Linked DNA regions of Caenorhabditis elegans. The protein of the gene in region 2 interacts with the protein of the main gene of each other region in a pairwise test. Each region holds a gene or a part of one and is shown on either strand. Other genes may lie near its edges.

Evidence for each region. Proteins that work in one complex are often made in the same cells at the same time.
Region 1: the proteins of C35E7.10 (region 2) and K05B2.4 interact in a two-hybrid assay, tested with the Caenorhabditis elegans proteins (one large-scale study listed by BioGRID).

The regions. Positions count from the first base shown.
Region 1 is NC_003284.9:4,918,438-4,922,569, reverse strand, and holds K05B2.4 (Acyl-coenzyme A thioesterase 1-like), read left to right. Parts: upstream 1-1,577; 5' UTR 1,578-1,590; coding exon 1,591-1,697; intron 1,698-1,838; coding exon 1,839-2,051; intron 2,052-2,095; coding exon 2,096-2,312; intron 2,313-2,368; coding exon 2,369-2,473; intron 2,474-2,517; coding exon 2,518-2,628; intron 2,629-2,671; coding exon 2,672-2,760; intron 2,761-2,895; coding exon 2,896-3,037; intron 3,038-3,083; coding exon 3,084-3,249; intron 3,250-3,369; coding exon 3,370-3,515; 3' UTR 3,516-3,582; downstream 3,583-4,132. Other genes in the region: mct-4 (MFS domain-containing protein), read left to right, coding at 482-552, 603-632.
Region 2 is NC_003279.8:10,810,129-10,814,692, reverse strand, and holds C35E7.10 (Tyrosine-protein kinase), read left to right. Parts: upstream 1-1,769; 5' UTR 1,770-1,919; coding exon 1,920-1,985; intron 1,986-2,031; coding exon 2,032-2,136; intron 2,137-2,185; coding exon 2,186-2,560; intron 2,561-2,893; coding exon 2,894-3,127; intron 3,128-3,383; coding exon 3,384-3,668; intron 3,669-3,719; coding exon 3,720-3,827; intron 3,828-3,871; coding exon 3,872-3,991; 3' UTR 3,992-4,045; downstream 4,046-4,564. Other genes in the region: C35E7.7 (uncharacterized protein), read right to left, coding at 1-183, 803-878; slfl-3 (Schlafen-like protein 3), read right to left, coding at 4,309-4,426.

The DNA of each region.
Region 1 (4,132 bases), on a different chromosome or scaffold from region 2:
AGGCCACTATCACTTATGGGGTTTTTGTTTCAATTAGTTCAACTCAAAGTTATAATGATATGGATATATAAAAACATTCCAATAGTGCTCCAATGTTCAAAAATCGTGAGAAAAATTTTACAAAGTTATATTGAAAATTTTTATTTCAAGTCAAAATGATCTGAAACTTTCAATTTTCGTTTTTTTTTTTGAAGGCGTCTATTAAAAAACACTTTTCTTGCTTCCAATTGTAAGTTATAATTACGCTCAAAATATTTACATTCCATAATTTTAGGAGTTTGAACATGCGACAGAAAATAGTTTTTTACGTTTGTCGGTGAACTTTTCTTGTTTTCTTGAAAATTTAATGAACTTTCTCTATGAACTCATATTTAATCAATAACCCCAAAAGTGACAGATTACCTTTAGAAAAAAAGCTCCTATAACTTTAAGTTGAAGTTTGACGCTTATTTTTTCAAAATTTAATATGCAAAATTTTCAGATCTGGAGGAAGAGAAACGCAAACAAAAGCAAAACGGAGTTGTCGAGGAAGGAAATGAAATGGATGACAATGTATGTTCATCCAACAACGATAATGATAAACTGATGTTTTACTAATTTAGATCCCACTAAAATCACTCAAGAATAACTAGAAAACCAATCTAGCCAACGCTGCTAACCGATTCTCACCCAATTCATCAAAATCTACACGGAGCATGCCATTTATTTAAACAATATTGATCTTGTTTCCACTGACCCATTGTTTTATGAGACCCCTCCCCATGTTCCGTTTTTTCGAACTTTGCAGTTGTCTCAGGTTTTAGCATTATAGCACGATTTTTCATATATTATGATATACAAAAACTGCTTGCATTTTCCAATTTTCGGTTAGTTGTGTGTAGTAATTTCTTTTTTTTAAATCTTAACTATTCATATCTTTCGCTTTTTTTCCTCTGTGTTTGACTATGACTTCTGTCATTTCCTCGATGTTCTTTATTTGGGTACGTTTCCCTTTTTCCTGTCTCAATCATCTCTGTTGTTGTTTGCAAATATCCAATCTTTAAAAAATCCACATTTAGGTAAAATTGTAATTCTTTGTGTCTCCATTCCCATGTCGAATGACCTCCTCGGATATTGCATTTGGTTGTTTTTTGTTCCCTTCCTGGCTTGTTTCATTCATTCATACTGCTACATTTCAACTGTATTCCAAAGCTATATATTTCCTTAATAAAAATTGCTTTCCGTGATAGGAAATGATGTGATTGTTAATTCTAATGTATTTTGCTACAGTGTAGCAAAGAGTGTGGTTTTATCTTTTACGTACGGCTTGATAAAATCATTCTTAATAAACCCACAAACTATGATTTTACGACAAAGTTTTAATAATGATTTGAATGTTTAAGTTAAACAGTTTTATTCATATAACTTTTTGTTAGAGTTTAAAAGTTTAATTTATTAGAGAAAAAACATTTGAAAAAATATATTAATTAAAAATCTATTCGCATATTTTTCATTCATTAAGTTTATTGATAAACTACAAACTTCATTGTATGTTCGTTATCATTATATAATGTACCCACCTGTCTTGATATCACTGTTTTTAGCATAGTCATGTCTCCGGTTATATTAGTAACACCCGAAGATTCGCTGGTCCATGAAAATGTGTCAATTGTTGTAAACGGCCTGGAGTACCAGAAAAATTATCTTTTGGAGCTGAGGTAAGTTTTTAAAATGTATTGTGTCACTTTTGAAGATTTTGTTATTAAATTGGCCGTAATCAGTTCAACGTACCAAATAAATCAAAGAAAAAATCAAAACATTTCCAGAACATTCTTTTAACACGTCTTTGATCTTTTAAGATTACTTCATAAAGTTGGAATATATCGTTCGTATGGTGTTTTCAAATCTACCGTAACTGGCTGCATAGATTTGAGTAAAATCGCTCCAATACGTGGTACTTATTCTGGTGTTAATGAAAGCGGACTGTTCGAAAGCCTCGAGCCAACGGATACTGTCAGATACGGCGGATATTGTAATTGCACACCCCCGGTTGACTTCAAATACCAATTGTTGTAAGTTAGTTTGAATTTTCAATAGTCTTATTGTTCATACATAGGGTGAAAAACTTGAATGGAACCGTGCTTGGCGAAAAATCACTATGCAGGAGGCTTATGCATCCACTGGTGGAAAGAATAGAGGTTGAAGAAGCATATCCAGAAGGTACCACCGGTAAGCCTAAAGTTACCGGAACAATGTTCAAACCACCTGGAAATGGCCCCTTCCCAACAATCATCGATATTTCCGGAACCGGTGGAGGCTTGAATGAACAGAAAGTAACTTATTAATTTCGAAACTAAACCGATGATAGAATATTTTTTTAATAATTCAGGGCGCCGCACTTGCCAGTCGTGGTTTTGCAGTCCTATGCCTTGCATTCTTCAAATACAAAGATTTGCCATATGAATTGCAAGAAGTCGAATTACGATATTTTGAGGTTGAAGAAATATTTTGTATTTTTCAAAAACGTTATACTTCCAGGATGCCATCAATTTTGTCACTTCATTACCCTATACGAATGACAGGATTGGCTTTCAAGGTATATCGTTTGGAGGAACTCTTGTTATGTTTCTCACCACAAGGTTCAAACAGGTAGGATTTAATGTTGTCTGAAAACAAATTTAATAGTTTAAAGATAAAAGCGGCATGCTCAATCAATGGCAGTTTCACAATGGACGAATTTGCGCACGTATTGATAGATGGAAAACAACCTCCAGTAGGAAGGTGCATTTTTAGAAAAATGTCATTTTTCATTAAATGTTTATAAAAATTCTGTTATAATATAACAAATGAAAAGGAATCACACATTTGAGCATCAAATCGAAATGATAAAACCCCCGACAAATTTCAGCATTTCAGATTTATCAATCAAGGAATTGAGGATATCTGGTATTTGAATGATTTAATGGTGTACACTGATATGGTCAGAAACCTAAAACTTGAAGATGGGGCAGGATTTAAATTCGAGGATTCAAGTCCAGAAACTGCATTTAGATTTTCTGTTAGTTTTCCCGACAAAAAACATAGAAATAATTTCAAATTTTCAGCTCGCCGTAGATGATTTGAGCACACCAACTGTATTTGTAGGAAAGGTGTTATCAGAAAAGTTGAGAAACTTAAACAGGAAAGTCGAAGTTCATTATGTTTCTGGTGGTCATTTGCTAGATCCTCCATGTTTTCCGCATCACGAAGCTGTGTTTTCAGCTTTTGCAGGTAAATTATTATTTTTTTTGTTGGCCCGCTGTCGACCGCTGTTGCAACATCTAAAATTCCGATTTCATTGATTTTTTATTAAACTTTGTTAACTTTGTTTTCTAAAATTCAAATTTTCAGGAACCTTCCAAGCATATGGTGGTGAAACAAGCCTTCACGGAAAAAGTCAGTTTGAAGTCTGGGAAAAAACTGTCCAATTTTTCTCCGAACACCTCGGCGCGCCAACTCCTCTTCCTGACTATTCGAGACATTTGGCAAAACTTTGAACTTCATTTCTCTGTGCAAATAAAATCATCTCTCCATTTCTTTACTTACAAAAAATTGATTTGAATATAAATACTCTCTTTGTATGTCGAAATGAAATTCCAATCATTTCGAACACAAAAAAAGCGAAAAAAGCATCTGAAATTGCGTTCGACGACAAATTGATAAACGTTTGAGATGGTTGCCGGTGAGTCACAATCAAAATTGAAAAGAGACATACATATTGTGAAGTTATTGTCCCCCACCCGCAATAGGTACAAATGATACATCATTATCGCCTTCAACCTACGCGTTCCATGAATAATTATGCAGAACGACAACAACAAAGGGAGTCGTATTGCAATATGTGTATTGGTACACTGTAATCCGCACGTTGAGCGCACCGAAACGGCTTAGTCAGTTCTTATGAAAAATATTCAGAATACAAAATACATAACCTGTTTTTACGTTCCGAACCGATACCCCTGAATAGGATATGAACTGTAATCAGTTTACGGGCGCGGTTTAACTTTTCAAGAAATGTTAGCATCTGTCCCGAAAAACTGTCATACTCTTTATTAGAAGCGAAACGCTGAATTTTCACATTATATATGGATTCGCAAAGTTTCCAGTTGTTATT
Region 2 (4,564 bases):
TGGTTTCAACAATGAAACCGGCAACCGAATAACCATTTGGACAAGTGGTAACGATGGATTTGCATTCTGGATAAGTGACTACTGGGGCAAGGAATTGGTCTTCGGTGTATTGTTTGGCTATTTCTGGATATTCGGTTTGAAGCCAATTGAATTCAAATGTTGGTTGTCTGATGCACCCGCATTCTGAAATTTTCAGGGAATTTCGGAAAGCCGAATATATATTTTATTTTATTTTTTTAAGTACTGAGAAGTAGCTGGTAAACATAAAATTGAACATTATCATACCAGAATGAAAGTAAAATGATGAAATTATAGAACCTACACAAATTTTTATTATTGTCTACGAAGATTTTCCAAAACTCCACTAAAACTTAATGTCCCTGTCAAAACTACTTTCTAAAAAATGCGTCAATCTATACTCAAACTTTGAAATGTGCTATTTGCAAATTTATAACTGAAATTTCCATTAAAAATATTAACTGTGAAACTCAACTCGGAGAACTTTTAATTGTCTCCTGAAAGTGTTCAGTTCATATTTAGTGTTTTTCAGCGATATTTTTGGGAATTTCCGATATTCCATAATTATATCGGTGATTTTTTAGAAATTGTTTTATTGAAAAAAAATTAAATTTTAAGTCAATACATTTTTGTGCAAAATTTCTTTAATAGGATACGTTAGGGGCTAAACTACTAGCTAAAACAGTAGCCTATATAGATTTTTAGAGAGTTTTGCAGAAAGTATCCAACAAAACCAAGCTATTTCTTATAAAATTAACTACACTAAATTAAATGATTTACGTACCATTTTCAAGTGGATTCTTGCACAATTGAGCGGCAAAGATCATTAGAAGAAGGACAAGAAGACTGATAGCTGACATTTTGATGGTGTTTGCTTTTTCGTTTCAATTTCATCGGCTTTTATTCGGTTCCGATCTCCCATATTAGCTAATTCAATATTCAAAATTCAAAATTCAAATGGGACAACTGGCAAATGGTAATTAGTTTTGCACGGTGGAATTGACAGGGCAAAGAATGAAAATGTGATGTGGAAGTTTGCATTTAGTAAAAAGCAATTTTTATGATAAAAGTAAATACATTTCGGCTTGTAAGAACTGGAAAGTGCGCATTCGTTCAATAAAACTAACGGAAACCAAGATTAGTCGTGAACAATGAACAAAGATGCTTACTCCCGATCGATGCACCATGTATACTGCTGTTCTTTGAAAGCCAGATCTCGGTTGAATTGAAAGACAATTATGAACTTTTAACCAAAAACTAAAGAAAATAATTCACCTCCTATTGATGCACCATGTGTACAGCTATAATCTGGAGGTCAATATTTCGGATTTTTAACTTATCAGAAAATTAAAATTTTCAAACTTTAAAGCAATGGATGAAAAATATTTTATCATTCAAAATTTTCTCATAAAATAAATGACAGATAAGGTTCGAGTTTTTAAATCTAAACAATTGTAGTTTGCGCCATATCGATGCACCATGTTACTTCTCATGTTTAGCAGTTCATATCTCAGTTCTTTGTAATGTTATCAAAAAAGTTTTAACTACAAAGGTCGATGCACCATGTCTGACTTTCTCACTCTAGTAATCCAGCTGTCGAAGTAAAGACCGCATTTTTGAACGTATTCATTTCTTCTATGAAATTCTTTTTTGAAATTTAATCATTTTTCAAAAATATCTCAAAAATGTGAACCATTTACGTGAACTCATAAAACCTCCACAAACTTCCAAAGTTTACTGCGTGGCAAATCATAATTTTATCTCTGCCCTAAATCTCCAAAAATCAATCAGTCTCAGAATTCGGAATTCAGTATTTGATATAAATCCTTGCATTGATTGTGTCCAATCACACTTTGCACAAGCTTCGTTAGATCTTAACAAGATTAAAACAAGCTGATATCATGACTGATAAGGATCTACTTCATCAAAAGTACTATCACGGATTGCTGCCGAGAGAGGACATTCAGGTGAGTTGTGCTACTGATGGTTATTCAGACTATTGTCTTGTTTCAGGAGATGCTTAATAAACCCGGTCAGTTCTTGCTCAGAACATCGGAGCCTGTTAAAGGAGAAAAGAGGCAGTTCGTGTTGTCAGTTGTAGGTGAAAAGAAGACTTCTGTTAGTGATTATCTTTCCCGGGATTCCAATTAAACTTCTTCTTTTCCAGGCTAATCACTTTGTTGTTCGTGAGAGTGATCACAAAGTCTACGTTGATAAGATTGGCTTCCCAACAATCATCGAACTCGTCAATCACTATGTGTCGACCAAAGAGAGCTTCTCGACCAAGGATGGAACTGTCAAGGCTGTGCTGAAGCAGGCTGTGGAGCGTCAGAAATGGGAGCTGTACCATGAGGATGTGGAGTTGACGAAGAAGCTTGGAGAGGGAGCATTTGGAGAAGTATGGAAGGGGAAGCTCCTGAAGATTCTGGATGCAAATCATCAGCCTGTACTTGTCGCTGTGAAGACTGCAAAGCTGGAGAGTATGACGAAGGAGCAGATCAAGGAGATTATGCGGGAGGCTCGATTGATGAGAAATCTTGATGTGAGTTTGAGATGAAAGCCTTATGATTCTTGGAATAGTCTTGCTCTGCTTGGGTAATTTCGGGCCAAGCTGCTGGTTCAAAGCGAACGCTAATTAGTAGTAGTAGTAGTAGTGATGTATCACAGGGCTTCGAAAAAGTCATTGTGGATCCACGTGGATTTAAGGAATCTGTGGGAAGCTGTAAAGATTTTCCCTTAGTTTAAATAAGCCTTAGTCTCTGATTTTCTCGCAGATAAAAAACTTTGAGATCATAGTAATCGGGGCGTTGCTAATTAGTTCAGAAATAAACACATTATATTCCCCTGCACTACATTTTTCAATGATTTATTTCAGCATATCAACGTCGTCAAATTCTTCGGAGTAGCAGCTGGCACGGAACCTCTTTACGTGATCATGGAGTTGGCTGATGGTGGAGCACTCGATTCTGCCCTTGGGAAGCTCCATTTCCCGATGATCAAGAAGTACGAGTTGATCTACCAAGCTGCCAATGGTCTCGCCTACATCCACGAGAAGAACCTGATGCACCGGGATGTCGCTGCTCGTAACTGCCTTTATGGTGGTGGACAGGTACTGTAGATTCACCTAGATAATAATAATAATAATTTATTACGCTCGCTGGGAGACGTGAAGGAATACAGAATACAAAAGTTATTGTTCGCTTGAACTAGAATTGGTGCAGTCGGGCAATCGTTTCCATTCCATTAGAATGTTGTCCTTGTCCTTGCGTTGTCCTTGCGTAGACTCCCCCATAGTGGGCGAGCGATTCCCGAGTGAAAATAATCACGGATCTAGATGCATCTAGAAGTTAACAAACAACTTTCAGGTCAAGATCGCTGATTTCGGACTGTCCCGTGAAGGTGCGGACTACACGATGGATCTGAAAAAGAAGGTACCAATCCGTTGGTTGCCTCCAGAGACCATTCGTTCGGGTCTTTATACTCCAAAGACTGACGTCTTCGCTTTTGGAGTGATGGCATGGGAAATCACCGAGGATGGGAAGGAGCCATATCCTGGATTCAAGGTTATTGAGGTGGCAATGAAGGTTCTCCAAGGATACCGTATGCCGTTCAGCCCGGAGGTAAACAAGGAGTTTGCAGAATTCATCTTGGTAAGAATCAATTCAGATTAATGTAGTTACCGTAATCCAATAACTTTTAAGACGAAATGCTGGCCGGAAAAGTATGAGGATCGTCTCCCAATGAAGGACATTTGCAAGTGGATGAAGTCGTTTGTCAAGGCTCAAGGAGGAGATACTGGTCCAGGCGGAGTGAGTTTTTGTCAAAATGTTTTAAATTTCATGATTTCTTACAGATGATGTCGAAGATTGGCAAGAAAATGAAACGGTCAAACTCGCGTGAGAAGAGCAAAAGCTCGACTATGACTGCTGCACATGGGCAAGATCAAGGTGCAATGACAGCCATTGAGAAATAGTGAACTTTCTACATGTATTATGAATAGTTTTGAGAATAAAGTTTATTGAGAAAAGTTTTTATTCAATTAAAAATTGTGGAAGTGTCAATCATAGTCCTTCGCCAGTTTTGATGGTTATTTGGCTTGTCCAATGCAAGTCCCATTCGTCCACCGTTGAGCTATGAAGAAGAAGAATCTTGCAGCAAAGCCACTTATGATTTTATCCAGTTAAAAAAATTATTTATTTAAAAAAATTAAGAATAATCGAAACAACTAATAGTAATATTTATACTCACAGAAAAAAAGAAGAAAACAAAACGAAAAATGATACAGATTGTCTATTTAACAAGAGGTTTGATGGCGTTATTATAAATACAGAAGGAGAGAGCGGTGCCGAAGAAGATCCAGCCGATGTTCTGGATGTCGAGAAGATTGAGAAGCGATTGGGAGAGAGATCTGGAAAATTAGATGATATGAGTAAAGTTTTTTTCCAAAATCGAAAAATGTGAGTTTTTGAAAGTGGATTTTCATTATTTCTCGATGTTTTTTGGATTTTCAGACAATTTTGGGTGTTTTTTAAAAGACAATCGTAGG